Oreochromis niloticus: one gene and its partner. The protein of the gene in region 2 purifies or fractionates together with the protein of the main gene of each other region. This does not show direct contact. Links are inferred from orthologs where the notes say so. Each region holds a gene or a part of one and is shown on either strand. Other genes may lie near its edges.

The links.
Region 1: the proteins of vps4a (region 2) and zfyve19 purify together in Homo sapiens (affinity purification with mass spectrometry; 3 studies listed by BioGRID and IntAct, counting the BioPlex papers as one, with this or other methods). This does not show direct contact. The link is inferred for Oreochromis niloticus from reciprocal best matches to the Homo sapiens genes VPS4A and ZFYVE19.

What each region holds. Positions count from the first base shown.
Region 1 is NC_031983.2:8,745,842-8,761,682, reverse strand, and holds zfyve19 (abscission/NoCut checkpoint regulator), read right to left. Parts: upstream 6,733-15,841; 5' UTR 6,552-6,732; coding exon 6,498-6,551; intron 6,412-6,497; coding exon 6,290-6,411; intron 6,194-6,289; coding exon 6,140-6,193; intron 6,051-6,139; coding exon 5,899-6,050; intron 5,791-5,898; coding exon 5,648-5,790; intron 5,502-5,647; coding exon 5,393-5,501; intron 5,264-5,392; coding exon 5,045-5,263; intron 4,880-5,044; coding exon 4,803-4,879; intron 4,633-4,802; coding exon 4,531-4,632; intron 4,446-4,530; coding exon 4,282-4,445; intron 4,049-4,281; coding exon 3,970-4,048; 3' UTR 3,951-3,969; exon of another isoform or gene 3,417-3,950; 3' UTR 2,446-3,416; downstream 1-2,445. Other genes in the region: ppp1r14d (protein phosphatase 1 regulatory subunit 14B), read left to right, coding at 1,284-1,364, 1,821-1,853, 1,958-2,026; bub1bb (mitotic checkpoint serine/threonine-protein kinase BUB1 beta), read left to right, coding at 8,615-8,757, 8,853-8,912, 9,000-9,144, 9,231-9,427, 9,517-9,680, 9,779-9,966, 10,051-10,151, 10,638-10,920. UniProt on the Homo sapiens protein: Key regulator of abscission step in cytokinesis: part of the cytokinesis checkpoint, a process required to delay abscission to prevent both premature resolution of intercellular chromosome bridges and accumulation of DNA damage.
Region 2 is NC_031972.2:5,173,073-5,188,245, reverse strand, and holds the start of vps4a (vacuolar protein sorting-associated protein 4A), read right to left. Parts: upstream 8,059-15,173; 5' UTR 7,842-8,058; coding exon 7,821-7,841; intron 6,122-7,820; coding exon 6,010-6,121; intron 5,926-6,009; coding exon 5,781-5,925; intron 5,688-5,780; coding exon 5,626-5,687; intron 5,457-5,625; coding exon 5,337-5,456; intron 5,225-5,336; coding exon 5,068-5,224; intron 4,461-5,067; coding exon 4,312-4,460; intron 3,354-4,311; coding exon 3,272-3,353; intron 1-3,271. UniProt on the Homo sapiens protein: Involved in late steps of the endosomal multivesicular bodies (MVB) pathway. Recognizes membrane-associated ESCRT-III assemblies and catalyzes their disassembly, possibly in combination with membrane fission.

The DNA of each region.
Region 1 (15,841 bases), on a different chromosome or scaffold from region 2:
GTTTTTCAGGATTACACTATCAGCACTTTTGAACCAGGTCAAGTACAAAAAAGCCAACCGCAGTATAGTTGGTAAAGCAAAGTCCATAAATGCACAGCTTAGATATAATAATAATAAAAAAAACCTTCAGCCCTGCATTTATCCTGCAGACATCAGCAGAATTACACAGGGTCCAAACTGGCAGTGTGTATCAATTAGAGGCGGGCACAGGGGCCCATCTATTCCGCCACTCAGCACTTCCGCATTGATTAGCTCTCTCTCCACATCTAGAAAGCTGTGTGAGCCCCGTCCTTTCATGTCATGAAAGCTCCCAAACCAGAAAATATTCCTCCTAATAAAAAAAAAAGAGGCCACACTCGTCAAATATGAGCATGCACCTGCTGACTCCAGATATCTTCGAGTTCCTCCAGTGAGCACTCCTCATTCTCCCTGAAAGGTGTTCAGAGCTCGTTACATAAAGTGATTGCTTTGCTATATTTGGCCTTGAGAGTGGAGAGTGCTATGTTTTACAGTCTTCATATATAATTGCCGTTAATCTTTAAAAATGATGCCATCTATAGGTCGTTACATTGCAGTTGGGAGCGCTCGTGGGTTTGTGTTGTTTTTTCTTTTCCAGGTGTGCAGAATTCAAAACATGTGACGTGCATCAGAGATTAATATGTAAAAAAGTGGCGGAGCTGGAAATGACAGCTTGCTAAACCATCCATAAAATATGAGGATGGCGTTTTGCAAGCCTGGCCTCATACAGCCTTTCTGTCTTCATGCATCAGCCCACTGAACTTTTCCCATCAAGTCAATCAATTTTTTATTTTGTTTTATATAAAATGTTTTTATCCTCTACAGTAAACCCACACCAAGATAACTAACTAATAAATTTGTCCCATGTTCCTCCCCTCACCCCCAACCAGTCGTCAGATGGCTGTCCATCCCTGAGCCTGGTTCTGCCAGAGGTTTCTTCCTGTAAAAAGGGAGTTTTTCTTTCCCACTGTCGCCAAGTGCTTGCTCATCGGGTGGAACTATCTGACTGATTTTCTCTCTAAAGTGCCTTGATGCGACTTTTGTTCTGTTTTGGCACTATATACATAAAATGGAATTGAACTGAAAAAGTAATGCGTTAGTCTTCTGTCTGAATGACTACATTTAGTTGGCTGGAAAGATGAGGAGGGATAAAAAGCCAAGAAGCCCACATTATACAATCCAATTTGCAGGAGTTTGTGAGGCATGCAGAAACACAAGTATCAGTGAATATGGTCTTTAACTTTTATTCCTCTCCACTCTCACAGGAAGAAGAGATCCCAGAGTTAGAAATCGACATAGACGAGCTCCTGGAGCTGTCGGATGAGGGGCAAAGAACCCGGCTGGAGGTAGGTTTCTGTAGAATAACCTAAATAGAGATCTGATGAGATATTCCAATTGCTTGTTAATGACTTGTCAGGTATTTATTATTGCTGAGTGGTTCTGCAACTAGTTCCCCTAAATTACATATATATACATTAGTGCTGTCAGCGTTAATCTCGTTAAAATGACGTTAACGCCATAACCGCATAAACGCCGCAAATCTCTGTTAGCGAGTTGACGCGGATCGGCCCGCGCGAGGGGCTGCACGGCGCTAACGCGTTAGATCTAACCGCGCTGACGCGTTGACGCCGTGCAGCCCTCCTAAAGTCATTTTAACGAGATTAACGCTGACAGCAATAATATACATATTTGTATTTGGTTGTCCTTAAGAAGAAACTGACTCATAATGAAATCCTGCTGTGCAATGTATGCAGAGAAAAAGAAATGGAAAACGTGTAAGCCTCTTTCTGTTTGTTCATTAGGAGTTGTTGCACGAATGCGGGAAGCCAAAAGAGGTGAGACAAAAACTTAGAAAAGAACACTGAAATATTATGTCTACTTATTAACAAAAAGTAAAAAATTAAAACAAAAAAATTAAATTTCCCCATCTTCTCCATAGGATTTTATCAACGGGCTGCTCTACAGGATAAAGGGTCTACGTAAAATGTCAGGTCCACTGAAGAAATAATTGTAGGTCAAATTAAGAATCGAGACAATGTGGAGCCGCTCATCTTCGTCGCCCCACACATTAACCATTTGGATGCCTGTAGGTGTGGATCAGAGGGACTATATTCCTGTCCCCTGCCTCCTCTTCCTCCTCCTGCTGGGTCATCATCAATGTAACACCAGAGCTGTGGGGTTTTGAATTGAATTTATTATTTTTTTTATTAATGTTGTTATTTCAAATTCATTTATGGACTGCTTCAACGTTTCCCAATACCATACCAATAACGTACACGTGATAAAAGCTGTACTGACTATTACTCAGACGGACTGTTTTTGTGTAAGACTGTACATTTTTAGTTGCTTATTTATGTACATAAATATTTTTGTTCAGATAACAGTGTTGTCAAAATAAAAAAAATTAAAAATAAAAACATTTCAACATTTTCAAGACAATGCTCACATCTGATTTTTAACAAAGTGATACACCAATATCCTTCATCAGGTATTATCATTTCCACTCATTCAAATAAATATTGGCGTGTACATTACACTAATTGGTTTACAGTACCAGTTAAACTACCCTGAGCTCACAACTGCTCAGAAACACAGATAATGATTTTGCCCTACTGTCTATAGACAACTTTCCTACAGAACAGCAGTCAGCATTTTATTCCCAAAACATAAGGTAGTGTTTTCAGGCATTTTCAACAGATTGGCAGAAACAAAGGAAACTTTGACATGTCAAGAGTAGGTGTAAACACAGTGAGATCAGCAACAAGATGTTCCATTAAGTATGCATCCATTATCCTCGTCCATTTCCTGTCTGGGGTACGTGTATGACACGGCCAGAAAAGGCACAGTAACACTTTCCACATGAACCTTAATGGAGCAAGCCCCAAGAGAAGAGTGTAATTATGGTTTCTCCTCAGCCAGACAGTAATGCACGCTGATGAGCCTGCACTCTGGCCTTCTCTCTGTCAAACACAGAGGGTCTTTCGGGTGAGGTCTCCACTATAGAAATGTATATGGTTCTCCTCGACTTCTCTGACAAAGAAGGCATGTATACTATAAGAATTGCACTCCCTACAAGGCCTGCCAGACTGAGATATTTTTTATCTAGTAATAATATGTTGGATCTAAAAGGAAAAAAAGGCTTTAATGTTAAAAATAAAGCTAAGGTATGCTGCATGCTCTCAACGACTTGACATAGTTGCTAACACTTATCCTTTATTTATAATCAAATTACACACACAGCCAAACATAGATTACAAGAGCGACTGCAGTGACTGCCAAAAGAAAACAAAGCCCTTAGTAATCCTTTTATACTGACTCCTCTGTGCTTCCTCGGTGCGGAGCTGACAGCAGTCTGGGATTGTACAACATCCCAGATGAGCTCACGATGTGTCTGCTTTCTGTACGGGTTATAAAAATTTGGAAATCATCATATGATGACAAGTGCAAAAGAGCACTTTAAATAAGCCTTTGTTGTCATTAGGAAGTAGGACAAGTCAAAATAAAAATAAACCCGATACTTCTTATTCAGATCAACCATATTCATTTTTGGGATTCCTATGTGAAGCGGCCGTGCAGGTTTGCTGCAATACTTTCACTGTCTAGCAGCCTCTGCAAATGTTACATACGTCTATTTTTACACATTCCACAAAAAATAAACTATATTTAAGATATTATACATATTATATTGCATTTACATTGTGTTTATGGTCCTTATCTAGCCGGTGCTTTGCAAGAAATATTACCAGTAGTTTCTTATTATGCGCCATTCAATTAGTTCAGCCTTAGCATTTACTGAATAAAATATGTTAATGAGTTCTGATGGTTTGTGGCTTGTTTTAGATGATTAGAGAGACTGTTTTCTAACAATAGTAAGTCACTTAAGGCTAAAGAACAAGTCTAAGTGTGATGGCTGGCCTAACTCTAACAATCACCTGCAGCATAGCTTCACTATCATGTCTTCCTCTTCTTCTTTGGCGCAGTGTAGTTAGTGGTGCGATGCTCCTTCCTGTCATATTTATCATGGCCTTCCCTGGGGACATAATGAAGCATGGATTGATAATTCATCAGACTAAATACTTTATATTCATGCTGCTTAACAGTAGGGCAGCAGCTTGCCTGCAATTTATCTGGGTCATGGTATGCATTCCAAATCACAGAGATCTTGTTTTTTTGTGTGCAGTCAAGGCTTCCATGCAAAAGTCAACCATGAGTCTAAAGCTAGGCTTTTTTCTTTCTTTCTATAATTAATGCATTTCATACTACCTGAAGCAGCGGTTACAGTACAGATCTCCATCACAGGTGTGACATCGAAGGCTGGCATCTTGGTTACAGATGCAGCACCATGGAAGCTCTTCTTCATCACTGTCTGATTGCTGATGTGCATCAGCAGCAGGTAGGTTCCTGTTCTTAGGTGCCGGAGGTGGAGCCTTTACAATAAAATCAGATCTGGATTTAAATTTTATGCACTCACGTAGCTTTAAAAAAATAAAAAATTCAAGTGTGGTTTTGTACCGGTTTCTTGGACGATTTTTTCTTTTCCCTATTCCTTGGGCCACTCTGTTCTAAAGGTATGTTGTAGCCACTGGCCTCATCTAGTACAGTTTCTTCTGAGAGCTGAAAGAATACAAGAAAAAATAAGAAGTGATTAAATTGGCAAAATAGCAGCCCCTTGTGGCTAGGCACACTGGTCTGAATTAGTTCACTCATGCCTTTAGGGGTGTAAGATGTATGCAGGAACAAATTATTTATAGTTCATTATCATCTGATGGTTATTTTTGCCACACCTGTTTTAACACTCTCATAACAGCTTCTTCTTCAGTCTCCTCTTCACTGTCAGGTTGCTGGAAGTCCTCCATAGTAACTATAAATGAATCACAATGAAAATGGGGCATGATACACTAGCATACTAGCACTTCTGTCATGGAAACTGCATTTACAACGCACGTCCTTATCGTATTTTATGACACACTAGTGTAAAACAGTGGATAACAGATAAGGTGAGGTGAATGGTGCTCGAATAACTCACCTTTGTCCGGGTCCTGCCCCTTCAGCTCTGCCAGCCTCTTTGCCATGTGGAGGATCTGATCCTGAGAGTGACGCTCTTTCCTCAGCTCCTCCATAGCTTCCTCGAGCAGATGGGCTTTCTCAGCCTCCAGCTGCTTGGCTGCATCCTGGTTCTCTTCCAAATTCTCATCCAGTGTACCTGCCTCACCTTTATTGAGATCATTCATACGGCCATCTACACCTTCAGATTTAATAACAGTGTTGTTCAGTACCGGTTTATTAATTTTACGATATAAGAATGAATGATATGACTGACTCATTACTTATTGGTTTAAGGCAGGTGAAATCAGGGAGAAATGCAATATCTTACTGCATTCAGGATTTGATTGCTGGTTGTCAATTGCAACTTCCTCTGTCATCTGACTTATCAAATCATTGGCTTGTTCAGTCTGGGTCCGGTTTTCTGGAGGCTGATGCACCTACAGACATGAATAGACAAGCATATATACTTGGAGTTAAGAGAAACTGTTTAGTATTGAGTTCCCTCTAAATAAATATTTGAAGCTATTGAGCTGTACTGTAAGGCCTAAGATGTTACAAACAAGCAGGAAGAGATTCAGCTCACAGGTCGAGGAGCTTGAGATGGTGGAGGGAGGCCCCGCAGAGTGGCCAGACGGTCCTCCATCTCTTCTGCAGAAGGTACTGGCTTGCTGGGAGCTTTCAGAGCAGCAAGTCGGGACTTGAGCTCTTTGTCAGAGGGGACAGACTCTGAAGAAAAGGCAAAAAGCTTACTCCTTACCTTATTTTGGAAAATATTATAATAATACTGCACTTGCTAGATTAAATAAAAATGAGAGCTGTTAAAAATCTTATTACTAGGTGCTGTGTCCTCCTTGAGCTTTTGAAGCCTTTCAGCAATCGCCTGATCTTCTTTGCTCAGGCCGCTGGTTAGTGGATGTCCTGCTTTGCTAGTCCTCACAGGCTGTGTCGGCTGTCCTTGCTGTTTGGCCTCAAGTGCAGCGACCCGTCTAATGGAAGACACGTGTACTTTAGATATTATGAAACTGCTGTGCTGCCAAAGTTTAAGTCATTCCCTTATTTGATCATATACACTGACTTTTTATAGTTTTCTGGAGGAGACCATCTGCCAGCACTGGTTGAAGATTGCCCACTAAAAAGAAAGAATTTTAAATAAGAGAGAAGCTCCAAAGCCAAAACAAAACTACTTTTAGTTTTTTTTTTCCTCCTTGCAGGGTTTGAGCGTTACCTGGTCAGATTACCATGGCACTGTTTGCAGACCTTCTGCTGGGTGTTGCCACAGCGAGGCACCACAGCACTGAAAGTCAAGCAGCTGGAGCAGAAGGAGCGGCCGCAGTTCTTACAGCCCAGCTATGACGAACAGTAAACAGATCACTTTATTCAAAATGTACCCCTATGTATGTCTATGTGGTTAGCATTAGCCGTGAAATACTCACCTCCTTCTTGAAGAGGCTAAACTTGGACGCACAACAATAACATCGACTGTCCATACCGACACGTGCAGAGGCTCATGGGTAGGGGAATGTTAATGCTATCGATACAGCTACAGTGGGTTAAAATGCCTAAGAAAACACACTCAGTCGTGAGCATTAATCTGGCAGCTAGCTACTAGCAACTATTTTCAGGTGTTCATTCAAAACAGGAAGCAACGCGGAAGCTGAGGTGTGACGTAATGCATACGCATCTTCCGGTTTTCCGAATCGTCCAATCAGAATACTGCAAAACCTCTGGCGGTCCTTGTTCAAAACACAGACACAACCGTTCAACAGGTTTACTGCGACAACGTTGGAGTTCCAGCTGTCACCTAGAAAAGAAATAAAGGAGGCTCGGAAGCGGTATAGAACACGCACGTTTTGTAGAAAGTCTATTTTAATTCAGCTAGGAAAATTTGTCGTCGATGGAAACATTGCTAAAGTTGGTCAGGCTAAAGCTATCGTTAGCTAGCTAGTGTGTTAGCTCCAAACGCATGCACTTCCTAACGTTAGCAGGAACGCAGGGAGAGTGTTGATAGCTGCATTAAACATCATTTTGTGTCTCTGTCACACGGTTTGTAATACGATGGCAGTTTACCACATCATTATTAAAAAATGTATTGTTGTCGAAGTGCATCGTTAGCTCATGTTGTCCTAAAACTTGTTCAGTATGCCTCTTGGTCACCATGCCATTTAGTTCGCACACAAAAGGACTAAGTAATAAACAATTATAATGACAGTAACTGTAATATATACTTTTATTACTTTTAGCTATACAGAGGTAATAATAAACTTTGTGTATATCATCAAAAAAGTTATTTAAAATTAAATACAACTACAACAAAAGTGCATCAAACGAAATAACAAGTAACAGACTTGACCAGTGAAAAATTAAATAATTTTAAGGCTAAATAAAAACTGAATGAAACTACATATTACTTAAAGCAAAGAAGTTATATGAAATTAAAACAAGGGCTGTGTGTAAAGAATATTCAGTCACACCTAGGCTTTGGAGGGGGCTGTTAAGTTTAAAGATTTCAACACATCCAGGTCCTCTGGCAGACTGTTCCAGCAGCTTGAGGCATAACACTGAAAAAGCTGCCTCCCCAGAGGTTTTTGTCTTGCACTTTGCAACAGCTAGAGGATTTAAATAAAAGGATTTTAAAGTCAATACAGAAACTGACAGGCACCCAGTGTTGGGACTTTGCAACAAGTGTGATGTGTCCTCTCCTTTTGGTCGTAGTAAGTCTGGCAGCAGATATCTGAATCAACTCAAGGAGATCTTAGGTAGATCAGATAGCAGAGCCTTAGAGTAGTCCTGCCTGCTATGTATATAAAACTGGTTTGTCAGAGTCACCAAGATAAAAGGTTGCATTCTAGCAATATTTTTGAGTTATAAAAAGGATGATTTAGTGGCACACCCAACGCCTCCCTCAAGTTACGATCTGAGTCAAGGCTTATCCAGGCAGACTTGGGGAAAAAAGAGAAACAACAGCATTGTGGTAGATTTTTAAAGCATAGATAAAACTCTGAAGGCCACCTCAGAAAATCTGAACACACTGATGATGTAGTAGTCTCAAAAATTCTTGTGTCAAATATGATACACTAGGCATTAAAGGGTTAAGTTTAATTTTTATTGTTCTATTGATTTGCCCATAAGATGATTTCTTATTAAAGTTAGATTACAGATTAGAAATGAAAAAAATAGGACGACTTAAAAAGCCCAAGCAACTGAATTAAATGTGTGTATACAGAGGGCGAAATAATGGCTTTGATCCAGGACTGATTCTGTGGGCACGTGTGCTTTATACACATAACGAGTTGAGATCAGGGTATCTGTAATTGATTGATTGTAATTTGTGTGCCACATGGGCACAAAGCCAATCAGTGGGAGCCAGACTTCTGGCTGTTTGTAGGGGATCAAGTACTTATTTAACTCAATAACAAATAACAAATCCATTTAAAACTTTGCAGTTTTTTTTTTTCTGGGGTTCTGGTTAATTCTTAATTACAAATTCAGCAGGGGATAAATATCAAATAATTAATTCTCCTGCTGTATGTATCTAGTTTCTGTTTCAGAAATGGCAGAAGGAGGAGATGTGGAATGGGAGCTCAGCAAAGAAAACATCCAGCCTTTGAGGCGGGGTAGAGCCATATCGGCCTTACATCAGGCGCTGAGTCAACAACAAGATGGACCCACCTCTGCAATCAACCAACAGAGACAGTATGGATGGCTATTTTAAACTTAAATTGTTGTACAATTTCTCCATGCATTTTTCATATGATGAAAAAAGACCTTGTGGATATTTATTTCTGCAGGGCATTTGAGTCTGAGTTGCGCACATACGAGGGCGATGATCCACTTAGTGTTTGGGATCGGTAAGGGAAATATGTCAATAGCCAAGTGTGCTCATAAGCATTGCTCTTAAATTTCCCTGTAATCCTAACACGGTTTTATTTTTCCAGGTATATTAAGTGGACAGAACAAACCTTCCCCCAGGGAGGAAAGGAGAGCAACCTTACCACACTGCTGGAACGAGTCGTGACCAGATTTACAGAGGAGAAACATTATCACAATGACCCCCGCTATGTTGACCTCTGGATCAAATTTGTGAGTGCAAAAGTATAACCTCTGACTATTTCTGTTACTTTGACAAACTAATGCTGCATTTATAACGTTTTATTACATGTCACCAGGCGAAGAACTGCCAAGAGCCTTTGGAAATTTACAGATACATGCAAGCACAAGGAATTGGAGTAACACAAGCTTCCCTCTACATCGCTTGGTCAGAGGAGTATGAGGATCAGGGCAACTTCCGCAAAGCAGACTTGGTCTACCAAGAGGGGTTCAGAAAGAGTGCTGAGCCACATGATAAACTCCTACAGTTTCACAAGTATGGAGTCTTCCAGTATAGTTTCTGATAAATGAATATCTCTGTTATGTTGTTACAGTGATCACATTTTTCTGTATTTATATTCGCAGGGCACTGCAGGCACGCGTTTCCCGGCAGGTGATGATGAATGTGGAGGAGGAAGACAGTGATGATGAGCCTAAGCAACTCGAGAGAGTTTCTCTAGCTGATCTGAAACACAGAGGGAAGAAAAAGGCTGTCGCCCCCGTCAACAGAACAGGGGCTGCGATCAGAAGTAAGCACATGAATATACAAATAAAATCTGTTTCAAAATACTACATCGATGATAACAGTGCTTTAAGACTGGGAAAAACATAATGGGTTTGTACTCAGGTATTCCCGGTGGCCTGAAGTCACAAGGCGCCCCTGTTCTTGGCAGTAACAGTCGGTTGGTCATCTTTGACGAGAATAAGGCTCAAAGCGCAGGCCCATCGGAGCCTAGATTGGAAGCTTGGGTGGCTCCTCCCACATCTAGGGCGAAGGAGAACGAGCAGAAGCTCGAGCGATGGTGTGATGTGAAGGTATGGGAGAACAGGCTCATTGTCGTGTGTGTTGAAAGCCATTATGCAAAGTTGATTCATAATTTTCTTTTTATGTCGTCATAGATGCCCCAGAAGTCCAAATTTGGGCATACTGTTATGGCTCCGCCGCCTCCCAAACTCACTTTCCAACCATTTGTGGAGGAGTCAGATCAGCCTCCTACAATGTGAGTTACTACAAATACCTTTATTTATTTATTCATTCACTTTTAATTTAAATCATTATTTTGACCGGGAAAAAAAGAACAGACGAAGAGACAACAGACAGAAATGCCTGAGTACCAAGATCTGTGGATGTATACACACATTTAATTGAAAAGCCCAAATAAACAAATAGAAAAAGTCTTCCTCTCTCATCTGAGTTGTCATATCATTCGCTTGTTCAGTCTAGGTGCAGTTTTCTGGAGGCACCTACAAACATGAATAGACAAACATAAATACTTTCAGTTAAGGGAAACTGTTTAGTATTGAGTTCCCTCTAAAAAGTATTTCTAGCATTCTTCACATTTTTAGTAGCATTTATCAGAAAAAGATCCAGTTTTTATCTGCCGTTTTATGTCATTGTTTTACCTGCTAAATATTATATTCATGTCACATGTTGATTAGTGTCTTCCTAACCCGAATGTAAGTGCATTGTTCTGTCCCTCCCTCAGGACTCCATGTAAGATCAACCCAGCAGTTAACACAGTTTTGTCAGCGCGTAAGCCGGGCAGAGAGGAGACTCCTCTCAAAAGGCTGCAGGACCATCAGCAGCAGCAGAAGGAGGCAGAATCGGGAAAACAACAGGAGCAGAGCATGTACTGTAAAGAGCTGCTGCTAAATGGTGCTGCTGAGTTCTGCTTTGAGGAGCTGCGAGCTGAACGGTTCTTCAAAAAGACGGCACAAGAATCAGAGGAAGGGCAGAAGGATGAAGCTGCAGCTGGTGCTGCAAACTGATGCTTCCAAATGGGATTTAGTTCCTTTTCTGAGTTTTTACCATTTTTGACTAGATCATGTAGTGACTGTTCATCATCCAGATGTAAATATTGTCATAGATTTCCAGTTACTCAGAAGGCTTTATAAACAAACAAAAAAGCTTTTTGGGGGGATACCCTGGGAGCTGAAGACACACTAAAAGGTGTATTGGATTCGTGCAAATACAGTGGTTGGACCAAATAATGGGAACCCCTGTACACTGTAATGTAATCTAGTAAAAATGCTACTAGCGTGAGAAAAAACATAGATGTAAATACATGTTGATACTGAACTGATGTGCATGCCTTAGCTACCAAGCGACTACTCAAATGTGTTCCTTTTTCACTCCTGCTTGCATCCATTGTTCTTAAGCAGTTTTTTTGTATGTATTCTGTTTTTGTTTTTTTCTTGCTCAGTATTTCTTGAGCAGATTTTTCTACTCTAATCCAACACAGTCAAAAATGGGTTTCAGTGAGACACTTCAGCTGGGCTTCATGCGCACACTTGAGTACATGCGCCTTTCAGGCCATGTAACATTGATGTCCAATAAACTTGATACAATAACCAAACCAATTACTGGTGGTTGTTAATTTCTCTTTTAGAAACCAAAGGGGGTTGTAGTAATGCACTGTCAGCAGGGGGCTTGCAAGGGGAAGCATAGATTGCACTCCAGGTAATGGTGTTTGCTTAATTACTAACAGGACACCAGAGCAGTTTAGTGCTGACTGTAATCTGATGCTGGTGGGGGCATCAGATAAAAATGCATTTAAATGTCTAATGTGTAATTCAGGAAGTATTTACCCAGAATCCCAAAAAGCATTGAAAGTACACTTAAACTTTTAATCTATTGTGATGACAGGGTCCACTTTACACAGTCAACTTGCTGGGCAGACTTTGATGAATGGCTGCAAGATAGGTGGCTGGCTCATTAGCAAGTGAAATCAACCACTTGCAGCTGTGAGCAGATCAGGCTGTGGTTATCCCCAGGAAGCCACTGTCCTGATGAACCGTGGCTCAAAGCGGTGTTAGTTTTACATGCAAGTGGATCACTGGAGGAGCACACTTCACAGTGGAAATATGACACTGCCGGCCAAGATCCTCTCTAGTGGTGAGTTCCCATACTGTCTACTTTAAATTGTGGCTTAGCGCTGGGAGCAGCTGAAATTCAGTGATAAGTGATGGGCAACATGATGCGCTCCCATCATAATAACAGCATAACTGCACCATAATGCATCCTCTATGGCTCGCCGGTTGGCATGACTTATTAAAAGCTCGTCCCAGCCAGCGACTCCTGACAGAAAATCCATAGCTCTCCGCACTGCACTGGAGAGCTGGTACGAGGAGGCCATCTACCGTAATGCTCTGTAGACGGGCCCTCGGAGAAGAAAAGCTTTTGTCCTCTTACTGCGACGGACAAGAACACTCGAGTGCCGTGTAGTCTTTACCTATTTGTAGCCTATGGTTTGTGTTTGCATGCACCAGTTAGCAGAAAGCTTTCTGTCCAAGACCTAGACTCACTTTAAGTCACTAGTAGAGGTTTTGCCCGGTGAGAAGGACTGAGGTGAACTTCCATCAGGCTTGCACGGATACAGAGCAGCTTGTAAACGTGCAGCAGCAAAATCATCAGCCCCTTTTCCCCCCTCCAATCATTCTGGTTGTGGAATTTCATACGCTTTCAGAAAAGGAAACTATAGCTCATGACTTAAACTATGAAGATTATTTCCTGATTTAGATCTACAATGATTTCGTTCTGTAATTTTGACTCATGGTTATGTAATTCAGACAGCAACCCCAGCGTGTTAATATACTAACCGATGAATCAGTATTTTTACCACTTTCGCTTCGATCCTATCAGTTCTCCCGAGGCCACTACTTGATATATACTTATATATCTCAAATTTGGCTTAATGTTATGTAATTACATGTAATTACACCCATGAAAATGACAGCTTATTATCTTATAATCATGAGTTAGTGGTATTTTTTTAGGGTTTTCTCTGATCATGTTTGACTTATCTCACTGTTTCCACTTAGTAAGTCAGAACTTTGACTTACATTACCTTGCACATTTGTTTGGTTACCTAACTGCTCATTAGCTGGCAGGTTAATGCCACAGGCTTTCTCTAGATTTCTGCAGTGCTTGTCTTAATCATACAGATTTAAAAATGGATTTCTAGGTCATCTGAAAATGTCAGTGGATTTCTTTTTCTAAATGAAAAATTACATTTGCTTTAGCTTAATACTCTGAGCCCCGGTAGCCTGCTGTGTAATTCCTACATATTCATGCTAAACAATAGAATGAATTGAAATGCAAGGAGTTAAAGTGGTCTTACTTATGCAGCTTTGGGGCTTTCACTTTAATGACACTGTGGTTTAAGACCAGTATTGTCATTGTAAAATCTGTTTTACATCACAAGCTACTTTTACACTATTTATCCGAGAGGAGCGCCGGGTTTAGAGGACCGCTTAGTGAAGATGACATGTAAAAATAATTTATAACATCTCCTAGTCTCTCCTTTTATTGCAATACAATACACACTCTTAAAATACTCCATACATACATATATACAAAAAGAAAGTGATAATTAAATAAATTTCATCTTCAAGTAGAAAAATGATATCTACCTAACAGTGCAGCAGTAGCTTTCTTTTTATGTCTGCGCTAAACCACCGAAGCAAAATTGTGTGGTTCTGTGCATTCTCGCGGAAACAGGAAGACATGTTTCATTTATTGACCTTTTGACCTGCGCAGCTTTCCTTCATACTGGGCAAGCAGAGATAAGGATAAATAAGCAACCTCAGCTCAGATAGCCCTGGTAAAAAATGGAGTAGTTTTTGTGATCACCATATTTGTGCATTTTAATCTATCTTTTACCGTTTCATGAACTCAAAGGAAATCATGACTATAAGAAGACCACCACACCAGTTAATATCTGTGACAATGATGCTGACTAGTAAGAGTGAAAGAGAGGGAGGGGTTGTGTCTGCCATACCCCTAACAGGAAAATCTGTCACTGTTATGCAGATTGGTTTAGTGGAGTCGTTTTTCACCTCACTTTATTTGATGTGTGTGTGGGGGGAGGGGGAGGGGGGTACCATTATTTAAGCCTGTCGTAGTGCCTTTCATATCAAAATGCCATGTATTACACATATGCCCTAAATGTGGCTCACTCTTGCAGGCAGTTTCTGCATGACTTGACCCTAATACATTTTCCTTCTTCGTGCCTGGTCTTAGCTTCTGTATAAATTATTCAGGAAATGATTGTGGTAAAAGGAGAGGGGAAATGTTTCGCTCAAATAATGAGGATGCCGGATCAGATGCAGGAGTGTGGCTGTAACTTTAGTTTCAGTGTCCTCACTCGCAATGATTTTGGGGGGTTTTTTGGGTCACGATAGACTCGAAAGACAGTGTAAGGATGAGGATCGAAGCCCCTCTACAGGGATAGTCCCACACCCCTTTTTACAAGCATCGGTACATACAGCAACCCCTCCTCTGCCATCTGTCATCTCCCGCACCATGTCATTTCATGGATAATACATTTGAGTGAACATCAGTGCACCGGGTGAAGGCAGCACCCTCGTGTTCTCGTGTCACCCACATTACGTGCAAAGGAGACAGAGAGGCAGAGAGATGGTGGGTGGGGAGGGGAGAGGAGAGGAGAGGGTGGGGGATGAAAGGTATCCCAGGTGATGAGGTGTTGAAGAGCTCTCCTCTCCTTACAGTCACTGGAAACCGGCACACGGGCGCAGGCACATGCTGCTATCAGTTCTTTTGCAGCCCAGTGAGGCAGTGGGAGGAGGCAGAGAAGGAGGGAAGTGATAAAGAGAGAGGCAGAGAGAGGAGGAGGAATAGAGTAAGAGAGAAAGGGAGGTGGGAGGGAGTGTGTGTGTGTGTGTCTGTAGGAGAAAGACAGCGAGCCTGAGAAGGAGAAGGAGAGAAAAGGGGGGTGGATGGAAGGAGCTACATGGTGCTGTGATATTCCTCTCCTCCTGGATGCTGCTTTTCTTTTTCATGGCTTTGTCCATCCATTGTACGGACACCCCCTTGTCCCCGGGAGCAGGCACCGGTACACGAATCAGCACTCAGCCACAGAGCTGGGGATGAACCGGCCGCAACAAAGAGCCTTTGAGATGGCAGTGTGTGCTTCTGCCCGGAGGGAGGAACGCATCAGGCTTTCCCAGGCAAGCGGCAGCCTGCAGTGTGCTCTCGCTTGAGAGCCATCCCTCCTCGCCGTTGTGTGCATGAGCTTGAGAGCGTGTAGGTCCGTGTGCGAGCGTAAATGTGTGTGTGAACGTGAGCGAGCAGTGCATAATAGTGGATGTGAGTGTATGTGCACACTCTCGCTTCCAAACCTTCCTGGAGGAGAGAGGCTCTCCTCTTCACTGGACAGCAAGGTAAGGGAGAATGACTGATTTTTTTTTGGTGTCTTTCTCTAACAATGATTTTATCCCTCCAGAGCCCCATCTTCTCTCTTCACAGCGAGGAGAGTGGGGTAAAGTGGGGTGGGGGGCAAAAAAAAAGAGGCTTAACGTCATTGATAAAGAGCAGGCTAGTGTATGCCATCGGTAGGCATCAGTCGTGGTGGAGGAAGAGAAAGAGGATGTGGAGCAAAAGCCAGTGCAGCCAGGTGCAGATGTGGTGGCGGTGGTGGGGAGGTTTGCTGGATGTATTCAGTGATGGACTGCATCTCAAAAGAGGAGCCTTCACCTTCTGCTCACCCCTCCTCCTTAAAATCCCAACATCGTCTCCTCCTCCTGTCTCTTCTGTCCTCAACCCCGATTTCACAAAAAAGGATTCAGCACTCCCTAAAATGCTGTCTCTCTTAAGATGGATCACACTTGATAAATCTAGGATGACTATTATGAGTACTCTGGACACAGATGCTTCCTGTTTTTACCAATG
Region 2 (15,173 bases):
CCCTATACAACCGTTGTAAGAGTTTGGTTCGCATTGCCGGCAATAAGTCGGACTCGTTTCCGGTGGGTGATGGGCTCCGCCAGGGCTGCCCTTTATCACCGATTCTGTTCATAATTTTTATGGACAGGATTTCTAGGCGCAGCCAAGTGGCGGAGGGCTTTCACTTCGGTGGCCTCAGAATCTCATCTCTGCTTTTTGCGGATGATGTGGTCCTGATGGCTTCATCGGGTGGGGGCCTCCAGCTCGCACTGGAACGGTTCGCAGCCGAGTGTGAAGCAGCGGGAATGAGGATCAGCACCTCCAAATCTGAGGCCATGGTTCTCAGCCGGAAAAGGGTGGAGTGCCCACTCCGGGTCGGGGATGAGTTCCTGCCCCAAGTGGAGGAGTTTAAGTATCTTGGGGTCTTGTTCGCGAGTGATGGGAGAAGGGAGCCGGAGATCGACAGACGGATTGGTGCTGCGGCTGCAGTGATGCGGACGCTGCACCGGTCCGTCGTGGTGAAGAGGGAGCTGAGTGTAAAAGCGAAGCTCTCAATTTACCGGTCGATCTACGTCCCGACCCTCACCTATGGCCACGAGCTGTGGGTAGTGACCGAAAGAACGAGATCGCGGATACAAGCGGCAGAAATGAGCTTCCTCCGAAGGGTGGCTGGCCTCTCCCTTAGAGATAGGGTGAGAAGTTCGGCCATCCGGGAGGGGCTCAGAGTAGAGCCGCTGCTCCTCCACATCGAAAGGAGCCAGTTGAGGTGGTTCGGGCATCTGACAAGGATGCCCCCTGGGCGCCTCCTGGGTGAGGTGTTCCGGGCATGTCCCACCGGGAGGAGGCCCCGGGGCAGACCCAGGACGCGCTGGAGAGATTATATCTCTCGGCTGGCCTGGGAACGCCTTGGTGTTCCCCCGGATGAGCTGGAGGAGGTGGCTGGGGAGAGGGAGGTCTGGGCTTCTCTGCTTAGGCTGCTGCCCCCGCGACCCGACCTCGGATAAAGCGGATGAGGATGGATGGATGGATGGAAGTGAAGCAGGAGCTGGATACTGGGTTCACTGGCTGTAGATCGACCGCTTTTCCTTATTTCTGCCATAAATCCCGCTCCACTGGTTGATGCTTATATTAAACACGACCAAAGTTTTAAATAATCAGCTCAGTCTATGTAGCTCAGACTTCAGGCTGCTCTAATAGAATTAGTTTTAGACATTTTTTATATGCTTGGCTCGATATGATATGATCAAGAATGGATATCCCTAATAAGGTCTCAGGCATGCAAATAGCAGCCAGTCAGATGAATAATAACCAAAGTTGGCTTAAAATGTGGGTAGCCTTATAGAGACAGGGGCAGCTCCAAGGGGAGTATATTGAGCTCTGAATCCTACAAAGCTCATTTAGTGGAGTCCAAGAGCCGCATCTCTGATTTGTTTAATAATTCTATAATACACTTTGTATTACATATGCTTCTAACTGGGTACACATTTAAGATTATGCTTCCACAAGACACTGAGTGAATTACAAGTTTAAGATGTTATTAATCAGCTGTGGATTTCAGTGCCACTTCTTACAGGAGCTGTCTTCTTTTTGCATTCCCAGCACTATTCACCAACAATGCAAGCCTGTACACATGTGACAGGAAAGCTGATAGCTGCTGGGAACTCTTTAACTCCATTTCCCAAGAGGAGGCAGGATGATTTTTATACTGCCTGCCCTGCTCAGTGAGGTGAGACCTGTCGATCAGAGCGATCTTTCACTCTGTTCAGTAACAATTACAGAAGGAACTACCTCCTTCTTGAAGCCACATCCTTCTTATTTCAAGTGAAACTTTTCTTTTTCCACATTTTAACATTGAAATTCAGCTTTTGTGCTTAAATGGAGGCAAAGTGTAGCCGCTGATGAACGTGTTGTTGGGTACTGCTGGTCTCTCCAAGTCCTGTTTAGTTGTGATTCTGTGGCCATCTAAATAAGTTGAACTATCTCCCAGCAGCTTGTGTTTGTAATGTGCCCATGGTAACATAACATGATGAGCCTCAGCCAACGTCTTCTAACAGATCACACACAGTGCACTGTTTTCAAAGCACAGACTTTTTTCATAATTGTCCATCCAGCCGAAGTAACGCGCTCTTATTTTGAAAATTCAGTTTCTGTTAAAGAGCAAGCTCTGGCCCTTCCTGTTTTCCCTGTGGGCAGGTCTCCTGAAATCTTTTCTTCATTTAGACTTTATATAATTACCTCATGGAGGTTGGTCTCTACTCTTTGCTGGATGTTCTGTAGGGGCTTTTCTTTACTATAGAAAAGATCCTGTCATCACCCATGTCTGTGGTTTTCCAGGTCTTTCCATGTGCTTCCATGTGTGTTTTTCTCAGTATGTACAAAATAGTTATCCACTCACGATCTTAATAATAACCATACTATATTCTTTTTTTGCAGACTACTTCTGTATTAACAGCCACAGCACACTTGAAATCATTTCCTGACCAAAGTAATAGCCTGAATATTGATATGCCAGCCAACTTTGTCAAAGTGTTAAAGTACAGATGCAACACTTCAGTGGTCAATGCAATGCGATGGGTTAACCCCTCAACTTAGAAATCAATGTTTGCACTTGAAGCTTTAAGCATTTAGCAGTAACCCAAGTATATATTGATACAAAGGTAAAAAGACAAAAATCATGCCACTGTCCAAAAATATCTGGAGCCAACATTAAATTCTAAACGTCATAGAGAACAACTCACAAGAAGTTTGGACAATGTTTTACATGGTCAGCATTCAAAATGAGAGCTGGAGCTCAGGTGTGTGTCCGCACAAATGTTTTGTTAACAGCTTAGTAGTTTAAAGGAGGAGAAAAAACGACTTCAGACTGTGACATCATGGTCAGCAGTCAAAAAGCAGTATGAATCTTAACATTAACATGTGTTTAGACAAACAGATTAGAAAATCACTTTTTGAAATATTCCCCAAATGCAGGAGGATTTAATAGTAATTTAGATTTCAGATTCATCCTAAAACAACAACACTTCAAGCCCTGTGGTTTCTCGATTTGGTTTCAAACTAACAGCATCAGAATCTACCCGGGTTCAAAGGTTTGTGTTTTCTTAACACACAAGAATTAGATGTAACATGACAGAATTACCATTGTGATGAATAATAACAGTGCAGCTACAGTGAAAGTAAATTTTTATGGAATAAAAAGCCCCACAGAATATTAACAAAACAAAACAAACACACACACACACACACACACACACACACACACACACACACACATCTAATTGAGACGACCTCTGACCTTCTGCGGATGGCGGCGTCCAGCACCCAGGGGATGTTGGTGGCTCCGAGCACCAGAATGCCATCGTTGTTGTTTCCGACACCTACAAAAGCAGAGCGTCAATCTACACAAGCACTTCTTTTGAAACTCTGGAAAACTCTCTTCACTGATTGTAGCAGGAATAATGGTCAGTGTAATTTGTTTATACAATATAAACAATGATGAGCTAGTGATGCCACACAATAATGCCACCAGCTCTTTGTAGCTCTTTACACAAACAGTGAATGTGCACTTTTACTGTCAAATATTTGAAAATACAGGGTTGGATACCTTTTCTCCATTTTTTCTAGCTAGCCACCCTAAACAGTCCTTAAAGGAGTAAATCTCACATCTTAAAATGTTTTGGGCATTTATTTTAAAACACTGTCTAAATTAATTTCAGTGACGACCATGACATAAAACTGCATGTATAGAATCAGCAGTCAAATATGACAAATCTCTGCAGATCCACAATAACATTTTAGAAGTTTTTATCCCCCCTGGAGGTTATATTTTCCCCACAGTTCATGCTTCTTTCAGTGCCATGTCTCTCTCTTATAATTTCTCTACTGCTGTTTACAAAGCTGATGTTTAAAAGGATTTTTCACATATGATGGTTACCAGTTCTGCCACCACATACACTTACATCCAGAAAATCACCAAACATTTGTGTTTTTTAGAAGTTCCTCTTGTGGTTCAGAGCAGGCACAGTGAAGTTCTGTGGTTCTGTATGGTTCTATGAACTCTGAAAAGGCTGCTGTAGTCTTAATGTCCTTTATTTCAATCCATCATGGTGATGTGATCCAGGTTCCACAAAGTGTTAACAAGATTCGCACATTCAGTCTGACACAGATGTGAGGCTGAGAAAAGCCCCTCTTTGCTCACAACATCAATCTGACTTGAGACACTGCAGACGCCATGTTTTTTAAATGGCTGTGGCTCAAGTTTCATATTTCAACAATATTATTTAATACTCCATATTCTTCACACTTCATATATCCGATAGCACTCGTGTGACTCACCCTGCATCTGGACCAGAAACTCTGTCTTGATGCGGCGGGCAGCCTCGCTTTCGTTCTCGTTCCTCGAGCCGCACAGAGAGTCCACCTCGTCGATGAAGATGATTGAAGGTTTGTGCTGGCGAGCTAGATCAAACAGGTTTTTCACCAGCCTGAGACAGACGAGCAGAGACGGAGTAAATATGTCTGAGGGATAGCCATATTAGACCATTAGTTTTTTATTACTAAGAAATCTATTTAGTCTTTGAAGTAACAAATGTTGTAATTATTGCTCATCACCTTTATGCAATTTAAGATGAGAGCTTTAAAGATTAAAATTCCAAAATACTCAGTTATCTCAGTTATTTCTACTTGCTAAATCCCATATCAATCTGTTTATTAAAAAGATACTTACGAAACTGTTTCAGTTCAGGTTTCTACTCTGGTACAGTTGCATATTTATGGAGCTGTTTAATTGATATTCTGCTAGGATAAGAAAACAGCCGTCCCCAAGGCTGTGAGGAACTTTAGAAGCATTTCTGATATTTCCTTTTTACCTCGCTTAAACAAATCTCTAGGACTGCCGTCTTTCAAGTGTACAATACTAAAAATTAGAAACACTCCTGACTCAGAGTAATGCTGAAAAACTAGTTCATCCATTTTCCCTCTCCAATATTGTACGGCCTTTACCTGATAATTTATAGCACGTTGAGATGAGACTTGTTGGGAATTGGCTCTATGTAAATTACACTGAATTGAAATGATGCATTGAAAACATACTTCTCACTCTCTCCCAGCCACTTTGACATGAGGTCTGAGGAGGAGACAGAGAAGAAGGTGGAGTTGTTGGCCTCGGTGGCCACCGCCTTGGCCAGGTATGACTTCCCTGTTCCCGGAGGACCGAAGAGCAGGATGCCTCTCCATGGGGTCCGTTTGCCTGAGAAACAAAAAGACCCAGAAGAAAAGTTTGTCTTTAAAGTAGTGTTGATATCAGTGTATGACTGCTTACTGGGTTTAAACAGAATGAAGAAACTTGAGACCTACAGTACCTGTGAAAAGGTGAGGAAATTTGATGGGCAGGATGACTGCTTCCTTCAAAGCTTCCTTAGCTCCTTCCAGCCCAGCAACATCATTCCACCTCACATTGGGTTTCTCCATTACAATAGCACCTACACACACAAAAAACAGTAATGATGACACACCTACTGGGATGCAATTAATAGACAAGGCTGGATGATTATGACAAAACCAAAGAAAATTATAAGAAATAATATCATAAATAAATATTTTTTACAGAGCTCCACATGATGGGGTTAAATCCCCCCCAAGGCCACTCACCCATAAGCTGCTCCTGCAGTTTTTTCTTCTCAGGGTTTTCACCCTCACTGTCACTGTCACTCCTAGAACACGGAACATAAAAATCCAATAAAGCCCAAAATGTTTTTTACATTTAAACATACAAAAAAAAGAAAAAAGAAAAAAGGACATCATACTTGTCATTGCTCTGTGCTTCTTTGACAGGCTTCTTGCCCTGTTTGTCTTTATTCTTCAGATAGTCCTTCAGTTTCTCTGCTCTGTCCAGGTACTGCATACATTTTGCTCGTATACTCTCCTTCGCCTTGTCACTGTGGGCCTCATCTGGAGTAAGAGAAGATGTTCCCATTAGCAAGGTGTATGCAAAACACAAACTACCTCAGCTACCCATCAAGATAAGATACTTACATTTGATGGCATGTAGGAAATATTCCACAGCATGCTGGTACAGACGCAGAGCCTCCTCATAATTCTTCGCCTTGTCCTCCTCTGTGGCTTTAGTGACAAGATCAATGGCTTTCTGCAGCAGATGCAGAGATATAACGTTAAACAATGGAGTCAAAAACAGGCAATAAACACATGTCATCCTTATGTCACTCAAAACCAAAGCTTCAGCCAGCAGATTACAGAACTGGGTTGGAATCACAGGAACAGCTCTCAAATGGTTTCACTTGTCTGAATATGAATTCTGAAGTATGTCTTCATCTGTGGATTCCCCCAGGGCTCCAGTTTTGTTTTCACTGCGTATATTATACCTGGGCCATCTGCTTAATAGCTTTAAATGCACCTGCTATCAATGATATGCACACAATACACAGCTGTACCTTTCTGTTAGTTCAAGCTCAACAGCCTTTGGTACCTGAGCGAATGCTTCACTGCCATTATTAACTTTAAAAGATTTCTTTCATCTCAGTCCTGACAAAACCAAGGCTCTTGTGTTCGGCCCTGACAGATTCACTGAGGAAGTCAGCCATTACGCTAAGCCTGCTCGCTGATAATATCAAATCATCTGCTAAGAACCTTAGTATTATTTGTTATTATCTAGTATATTTGAATCTCACATTTCAAAGCTCACCCAGCCTTCTTTCATTAAAGAAACATTGCAAAAATGAAACCTTTTTTGTCACCCAATTATCCAGAACCTTTAGTACACACTGTAACTGTCTCCCAATTATTTTTGCATCTCTTCACTGGCTTCCAGTGAAATTCAAAATTTTATTAATAGCATAAAGTCCTACATGGCCAAGCTCTTGCATACACCTCCTAAACTCTGGAACAGCATTTCTCAGTCATTCAGTTCAGCTGAACCTGTGGTTTGTTTTATAGGATTACTGAGAGCTTTATACAATTTACTTTAAAAAAGAAACGAAAAGCAAAGAAAAGAAAAACAATCTTTCTCCTATTATTTGTGGCTATAGTTTTACATCTGATGTATGTATAAAAGTTGCGTGTATATATTGCGATGAATGCAAGACCATGTGTTTCTGTGTCTGTGTGCTGGAACATATTCACCGGTCTTTAATGTGTGGTTTTATTCAAACTGTGAAACATTTTGTAGCTCTATTTATTTAAAAGTGATAAACAAATAAAATTTGTTATTATTATTAAAACAAAGAACAGGCTATTCCTTAAGACAAATATTCACTGTGCTGCTTCTAAAGCCAGTCGTCAGACTAAAATAGTCCCCCCCAAACAGCAACGCTTTGTTTTCTGTCCTGTTAACTGAGCGAGCAGGGCCACACAGGCCGGCTAACGGTGACAGCAGATACCGTTAGAAACATCCTCCAGGCGAGGCACAGCCAGCAGTACCCGCACTAAAGCCTATTGTTTCTATAATATGTAATCTAGACGACATAGTTATTGTAACACCAAACCGAGACAATCTTACCATCAGCTGTTTTGTTAGCAGTTTAGCTTGCATTACATCCAGCCACCTTAGGTTTAAGAGCTAACCGTTATTTTGTATGTAGGTAGCCGACAGGCTGGAAACTGTGTTTTGAATCAGAAGCTTTCTTTAATCGTTCAGTGGAAAAAAATAAATTATCTACCAAGTGGCTCGAAGAGTTTTCGTAGCTTCCAGAAAATCGTTCCGCACGCAATCCAGTGTATTCAGAGTTGTAAAAAAACCCCCGCTTTTTGCTCCAATTATACAAAAATCAGAGGCTAGCTCTGTGACCAAATTGAAGCGGGCTAACGTTAGCCAGCTAACAACAACCTACCTGTAATGTTGACGTTGTCATTTCATCTCACTTTAATGTGACACGCGCAGATTTCTGTCCCCTGTTCCTCCCCAAAGGTGGACACCTGAAGAAGTGATGTCTTTACCAGCCCTGTTCTGTAGGAGGGCTGCACGCTCCTGTCATGACAAAACAAAACAGTGGCTAATGCGGCGGCTAGCAAAGATGACAGCTCGACCCAACAAGACGTCAACCAACAGGGGAGCTCATACGTGACAGCTTCCGGCGAAGACCTCCAAAGAGCCGTGGCGTAAAAAAAATAATCAGAAAACATGTAGTCACCACATGAATTATTAATAATACACCAAGGATATTATATTCTCAGAATTACATTTATATATAAATGTAATATTTTTCTGAGACTATAGAGACCATTTAACTTGGAAAACAACTTCCGGTTTTGTAGCTAAACTAACAAACTTGACAAACTTCAGGGACCTTCGCAGATGTTCAATGGCCTGCAACTACTGCCACCTAGCGGCCACAAGCCTGTCATTAAAGGCAGGAGTAGCTGGAGAAACACTACACTCATGTGAAATCAAGTATTTGGCAACGTTGTAGAGTACCCAACTGAACCATGCAAGAAAAAAATTATGGTATAGTTAAATTATTTTTTTGTGTGTGTGTGCGTTTTAATCTGTACATATATTGTGACTGCATTATATAAACCCAGTACACAGCAATAGAAAATTGGATTTTGTTCGTTGGATTTTTGAATGTTCACTCACACTCTGATGGATGCATCAGGGGCAACTTGGGCTTCAGTGTCTTACCCAAAGATGCTTTTCAGCAAGCAGCCTGGAGGAGTCAGGAATTGATGCACTGGCCTTCCAATTGATTTTCCACGTGATCCACAGTCATCCCTGACAGATGCACCAAATTATGACCCAACCAAAAATCTTCCTGATGCCTTTTCTCCACAAACACGTTGAAAGACCTATGGGTACTTCTTTGAGCAGCAATTTTGAAAAATTATAAATAACATATTATAAATAATAAATAAATGATAAAAGACCTTTATTGAAAAAGGTACTAAAAGTAATCAGTAACTGTCCAAAAGTCCAGCCAGTCAATGTAATAGTGCCATTCAGACTGACCTGCCACTAATATCTGGATGTCTAGTCAAAGTTCACTATAATGGAAACAAACAAAATGTTTATAGCGTATTTAGTATTAAAAAGGTTCCGTTATCATAAACACAAAGATGCTCTGGTTCATCTGACTGAGCTGTGGGCCACACATCACACAGAAAACCACTGAAAACACTGAAAAACAACACCTGGGTTTCTGTAACTTAAAACAGTTTTATTGGTAGGTATGTACATTTGAGATTACTACATTGTTATCATACATTGTATACCGTCTCTTGGAAGGAAACCTAAAATACTTTGCATATGACAGGTTGTCGCAGCAGCACTTTATCCTCGCGACTTTTCAGTTTCATGATTGTGTTGGACGCAAGCTGCCACAGATAATACCTTTGGTTCCAAAAACCCCTTCTTTGAAGCGTTGCATAGACAGAACAGCCACGATTTGAGAACAAAGAGAGGAAGGAGATAAAAGGTGTACATTCACAGGTTTAAAAGGGGTTTGACAGGTTAGTGCATCGAGCTCAGAGAGGAACAGGACGGCCTCGTAGCTTCTTAAACTTCACATAATCAGATCAGGTTAGAGCAGTTAGAATGACAAGAAAGCAAAAGTGTGGTGTAAAAGTGTATCCCTTTCACTACTGCTTCAAATGTTGCAGAAACTGACTTCGTGCCAGGCTGAGCGTAGCTCAAACTGTGACGTTTTAAGGGAAGCAAAGCTTACTTCTGCTTTAATACAGCCAACATTAACTGTAGCTTGAAAAGACTTAAATCGCTAAACAGGAAGTGAGTGTACTGTGATGAATTTTCACATTCATTAAAAAAAAAAAAAGCATCACAAGGACACGATGTCCCAAATGGGACAGAGGTCATTCAGGCGGGTGACTGTGCTCCGTATCAGAGAACCGGGGTTATCTTGTTTTCCTATGTTGCAGTCAGTGCGCACAATGGCACATTGTGTTCTTTTGGACCTCAGACAGAGGCTCTACTGAAGGGTAACATTAGCTACATGTACCATGAATAAGCTGACAGTGATTAAAATGTGTTTATTACAGTCACGTTGAACTCATTAACCAGCCAACGCAGGCAAAATGAACTGAAGGGGGAAGGATGGTCAACTTGCATCTATTGGGAAATATAAAAAAAAAAAAAAAAAAATCTGGTTCAGTCAGTTAAATATCACGTGCATCACACTGTCTCTGTCAGCACACTGACTACATGAACACCAACACTGCTGCGAGTGACCAATACGACTTACAAGCTCTCATCATTTCTCAACATTATCACAATTTTAGCACATCGGAGGGGTAAACAAGAATGAATGGCTGGCATTCTATTTCCCTGTGCTAACTTTGCATTATAATCACTATTGTTGATGTTAAAGGGAACACCTGCTGCTCTTTTCCAACTCGATATTTTTATTCTGGGACTCCACAAGAGTAGTTCTGCTTGATTTACAGTTAAAAAAAAAAAAAGATAATTTATCTACTAGACCCTCAGATGAGCCTTGATCTGCTTTAAATGGGTAATTTTAGCCACAGGCCCTTAAAGACACCACCAGGCTTTCAGTAAAGGCTAACTTTATTCTGATTGGTTGATTTCTGAAAGCTTGCTGAGGGGGTAGCTTAAGTTTGAGAATCATAACTCTCAATCAAATCTAATCTGGAAAAAAAAGAGTGGGGAGGACAAACATCTGCAGCAGGTTATAGCAGAAGGGTTCTGTTAGGTGCATATCAAACTTATTATTAATTCACGCTTGTAAACTAGAACATAGAGCCTTTTACATGTTTACAATATACTCTTTTCTTAACCCTGCATCCTGTGTTTTTTTGTTTTTGTTTCTTGAACTCAACCCATGAGTGAGTGAAAATGAAATTTAAATGTGGTCACCACATGTGCACCTGGCTGCTTAACACGAAGTCTGTCAGTCTGTTAAACTGGAAATATCAAAATGACGTTTGTCGGCTTTGTTGGTCTTTGGCAGCAGAAATCACATTATTTGCTAAATGAAGAAACTGCTTTTTACAGAATGAGTCATTAAGCTGGCTGATTATTTCGAGCAAACAAGGAAGCTGAGGAAGGATTGACACTTTCTATTCTTGGACCCATCATTTCCTCTGTGCTCATTAACTTGACCAAACAGAGTGCAGTACTTTTAGTTTAATAATAATCTGACTTCAAGGCATAAAATTAAAGATTTTCACATAATTTGGCTGAGACTTCAAACTGCTCTCTGCTTTAGGTTCAAACTGGGATCACAGGTTTACAAGACTTTCAATATTTCCTAAACTGAGGTGACTATAAAAATGAGGTAATTCCAGCTGATTGCATACAAGATTTTCAATAAGCTACATGGGGTTTCATATGTAGCTGGCTTCTAGGTGCTGCCCTTTGTCAGGCTGCCAGGATTGGACCTATAAGAAGAAAGTTTGATTTATGGGGAGGAGAGCCTTAAAGAGACAGGAGATAAAACGTCTGATTGGCTGAAATAAGAGGGCAGAGTAGTAGTAACTCTAAACTGACTGCTAAAGGAAAAATAAAGAGCTGGAAGCGAGCACAACAGGTCCACCAAATATGAGAGATTTTTTTAAACTTCTGTTGAGGTTTAATATTTTTCACTTTAGGTGCTTAAAATGAGCAAAATTTCACTGTAGAACTTGTTGGGTAAACTCAGCCATTCATGGTACTCCAGAGGACCACTGATCTTTGAACATTCAATCACCCAGAAATAAGATATTACAACTTTCCTGAATCTGCTTTTTGTTTGTGTTTTAGGAGGTGAGGCAGTTTTAACATTCACTGTCAGCTCACTGTCATGTGACGCTCCTGTTAAAAAGTATTTGACCACACAAATGCTGATGTGGGCATGGCAACCAGAGAGGTGTAATCACAAGCGAAGCAGAATGAGATGAGACGATGTGGTAGTGTAGGTGTCTGGGTCGTGGGTGGGGGAGGTAACGCACGGTCATGTCATATATCATCGTCTAATACAGAGTCCAACATCTGGAAGTCATGCTTTCAGGAGATACACACTAAAAAATAGTAACATTGTTTACACTATAAGAGTAATACTATTGCTTGTGCATGTCCGAAGCGTAAAATTCTCTTATTGTGTGAATTAAAAAAAGGGGAACACTATAAAGAGTGTCTCTGACTACAAGTAACAAGGCACAGTTGGCGATCCTGATTACAACAGTAGTTTGGGATAATGTGCTAAAAGTATGAGGCACACTATCAAGCCAACGGCAGCGTGCAGCGAGGAAAAACGCACTCATCCGCAGAGATCTTCTTTCACGTGCACGACCTCCGCTCGGGTAACTGCATCGCGACTCTAAAGCAGCGTCTCCCTCTCACAAAGACAAACACACGCGCGTTAAAAAGAGCCCAAAGTACAACGGAAGGCTGTCGTGGAATGATAGGCAGAGTAAAAACTGGGAGCGTTTACCAATCTGTGCTCGGTCAGTTAAAAAAAAGCCTTCCATTTCTTCGATGCACTTCACTAACACGTTGCTTAGAGCGCACAGGTGCTGCAATCTCATAAGCACATCGGCTGCATCAACATCTCATCGGATATTTATAATGAAATATATTTAAAAAGAAAAAACCCCCACAATCACGTGGAATGTTATGAGATTGTTAACTGCTATATATACTTTTTGTTTTGCGTGAAAACAGTCTCCTTTCACCTCGTGACTTAAAACAAAGTGCCCCTTCCTTGTACCTCGCCTCGCAACGCAGCTGACCACAAGGGGCCGAGGAGAAGCTGGAAGAGAAGGCACATTTTTGAGACAATCAGACAAAGCACCTCCTTGGGTTAAGGTTCCCCCTGCAGCACCACGTCAGGCCTGACTTCAGCTGTGAGCGGACAAGTTGGAAAAACGAACAAGATATTAAAAATAAATGAAAACGAGAAAGAAAAAAGAATCCTCTCATCCACGCTGCCAGCATTTGGCGGGCTTCACGTCAGAAGACCCATGCGAGTGAGTTTGGCCGACAGGAAGGAGTGCAGGACGAACACCACCGGCTTTGGACCCGAGTGGAGATCAAACACCTGGAGGGTGGAAGGAGGGAGGAAGTTAGAGAAAGGACAGGAGGATGAAGGGGAACAAAAGAAAACTTCAACATATCCAACAAGATATCCAAGATATTCCCTTATTCAAATGTAGATTGTTGTTTTATTTGTTCCTCAACACTTATATGGAAAGTGGAGAATATTCCAGCTTTAATGAAATGGGCTGAATAGAAACAGTTTTCCAGTTAAAAACATACATTTTAGTATTTTACTGTATAACACAATACAGAAATATCTGTATTCCTGGTCTACAGATCTCTGACAGGTTGCATTTTACCTTAATTTTATTTCATATTATTAGATTTTACTGATCTTTATTTGCACTTTGACTTTCCTTCTGTGGATGGAAATGTAATTTCTTAATCTAAGGAAAATAGTCCACAATAAATAAATAAATATAATTGTAATCACAATATGTTACAGCTCTTGTAACCGGTGACAGTATCTCAAAGAGTCTGGCGTCATAATACAATTAAAAAACAGAATTAACGGCACGCTATCCACTCGCCCTACTGCATACTGTGTGGCACAGCTGGAACAGCTGAGTGGTGGAGGTTCTTTAGGCATACTAGCTCTCTCAGGCTAGTCGGCAGACGGAAAACTAACATCTGCACGTGAGCTTCCGGTCAGTTTGACTGTTGTTTAATGTACTGTAATGTAAATTACTGTCTGTAATGCACAGGTAAGTGAGGTTTTACATCTTTATGATAAATGAACTGTAATTATGCATGTACCATTAGCTTCAGTTTGCCTTCTTGTTGAAATTCTTTTCTCTTTTTTCCCCCTTAAATGAAAAAACTCAACATGATTTTGGCTGGTTTAGCGTTTCAACACGCAGACAGTTAAAAAACATTGATGGAGATTCTGGAAGCCAGTCCTAAAGCTGCATTCTACCCGAAGGCCACCAGATGGCGATAGCAGGGGCTGTAAACAGACTTTCAATCCTATTGAAATCTACAGGAAAACAGCAATCTGTCCCGACCTCTGTGAACACTTTGCTGAGGACTTTATGGACTCAGTCATGTGTTTTGGGTTATTAAAAGAAAAAAAACCAACAACTATTAAATTCAGTTATTTAAATATTGGTCAAACATCAGCTAATCACTTGTGATAGACAAGTTGTTGGTTGGACCCGCCCGCCTTGTCACATTCAGCTTGTTTAAATCAAAACAGCAGAAATGTTGAGGATTCAGAGCAGACTTCAGAAACTAACCGGAGACATCATGGCAGCTACGACCATCTCTTATACATACACACACTGTGTTTCAGCATGACGCAAAAGTTCTAATAAAGCTGAGATTTAGGAATATTTTTGACATTCTTAGGTTTAAAAAGATTTTCCACTCACAATGCATTCATAAACTGACAAGTAGCTTTACTATAATTTACCATTTCTCCCTCTGGACCTCCGAAGTCAAGGTAAAGGTTGCGTATTCCATCATCAGCAGACATTTTAAGCTTCTCGTAGGGGTATCTGTACAGCACGGCCCCCCCGCTCGGGTCGGCTGGCTCCCTCGTCACAGTGAAGCCTTTTTCATAGTGTAGAGTCAGCCTAACTTCCTGTCTGTTCAATGTGCAACCTAGCAGAGAGGGCGACAGGGGAAAGAGCTCAAGAAAAACTAGTGCACAGGTGAGTCACAGGGAGAAATGTGAGAGTGCCGATGTGCGGAGGCTGGTTCTGGAAAACATGGGGCTGAAACTAAAATGATTTTCATTCTATTTTTAGTTTACCAGTTTCTCAATTATGTGACGTTTTTGAAAACTAAACAGTTCTATGTTCAAATTAATTTTTTTCATTAAACCTTTCAAAACACAAATCAAACAATCAAATGTAGTAAAATATTTAAGGAAAATACAAAGTGATAAACAACTGAAATTGATTTGTTTACACATAAATGAACGTCAAGCTTTTGTATCAAACAGAGTATGAATTCAGACTTATTATTGTAACAAATTCACTCTTACAATAACAGTGCTGATTAACAGTTGCAGTCCAAAGACAAGTGTGTGTTTTATATAAAAATCCAGGCTGCCTGCCGCAGCGTGACTGTGAGGTCATCTGATCCGAAAGCATTTCCATGTGCATTACTGTAACCTGAATGGGCCAAATGTTCCTGCACAACTGTGTGTTTGTGTAGCAGCGGGACAGGGAAGGAGAATAGGGGAAAAAAAAAG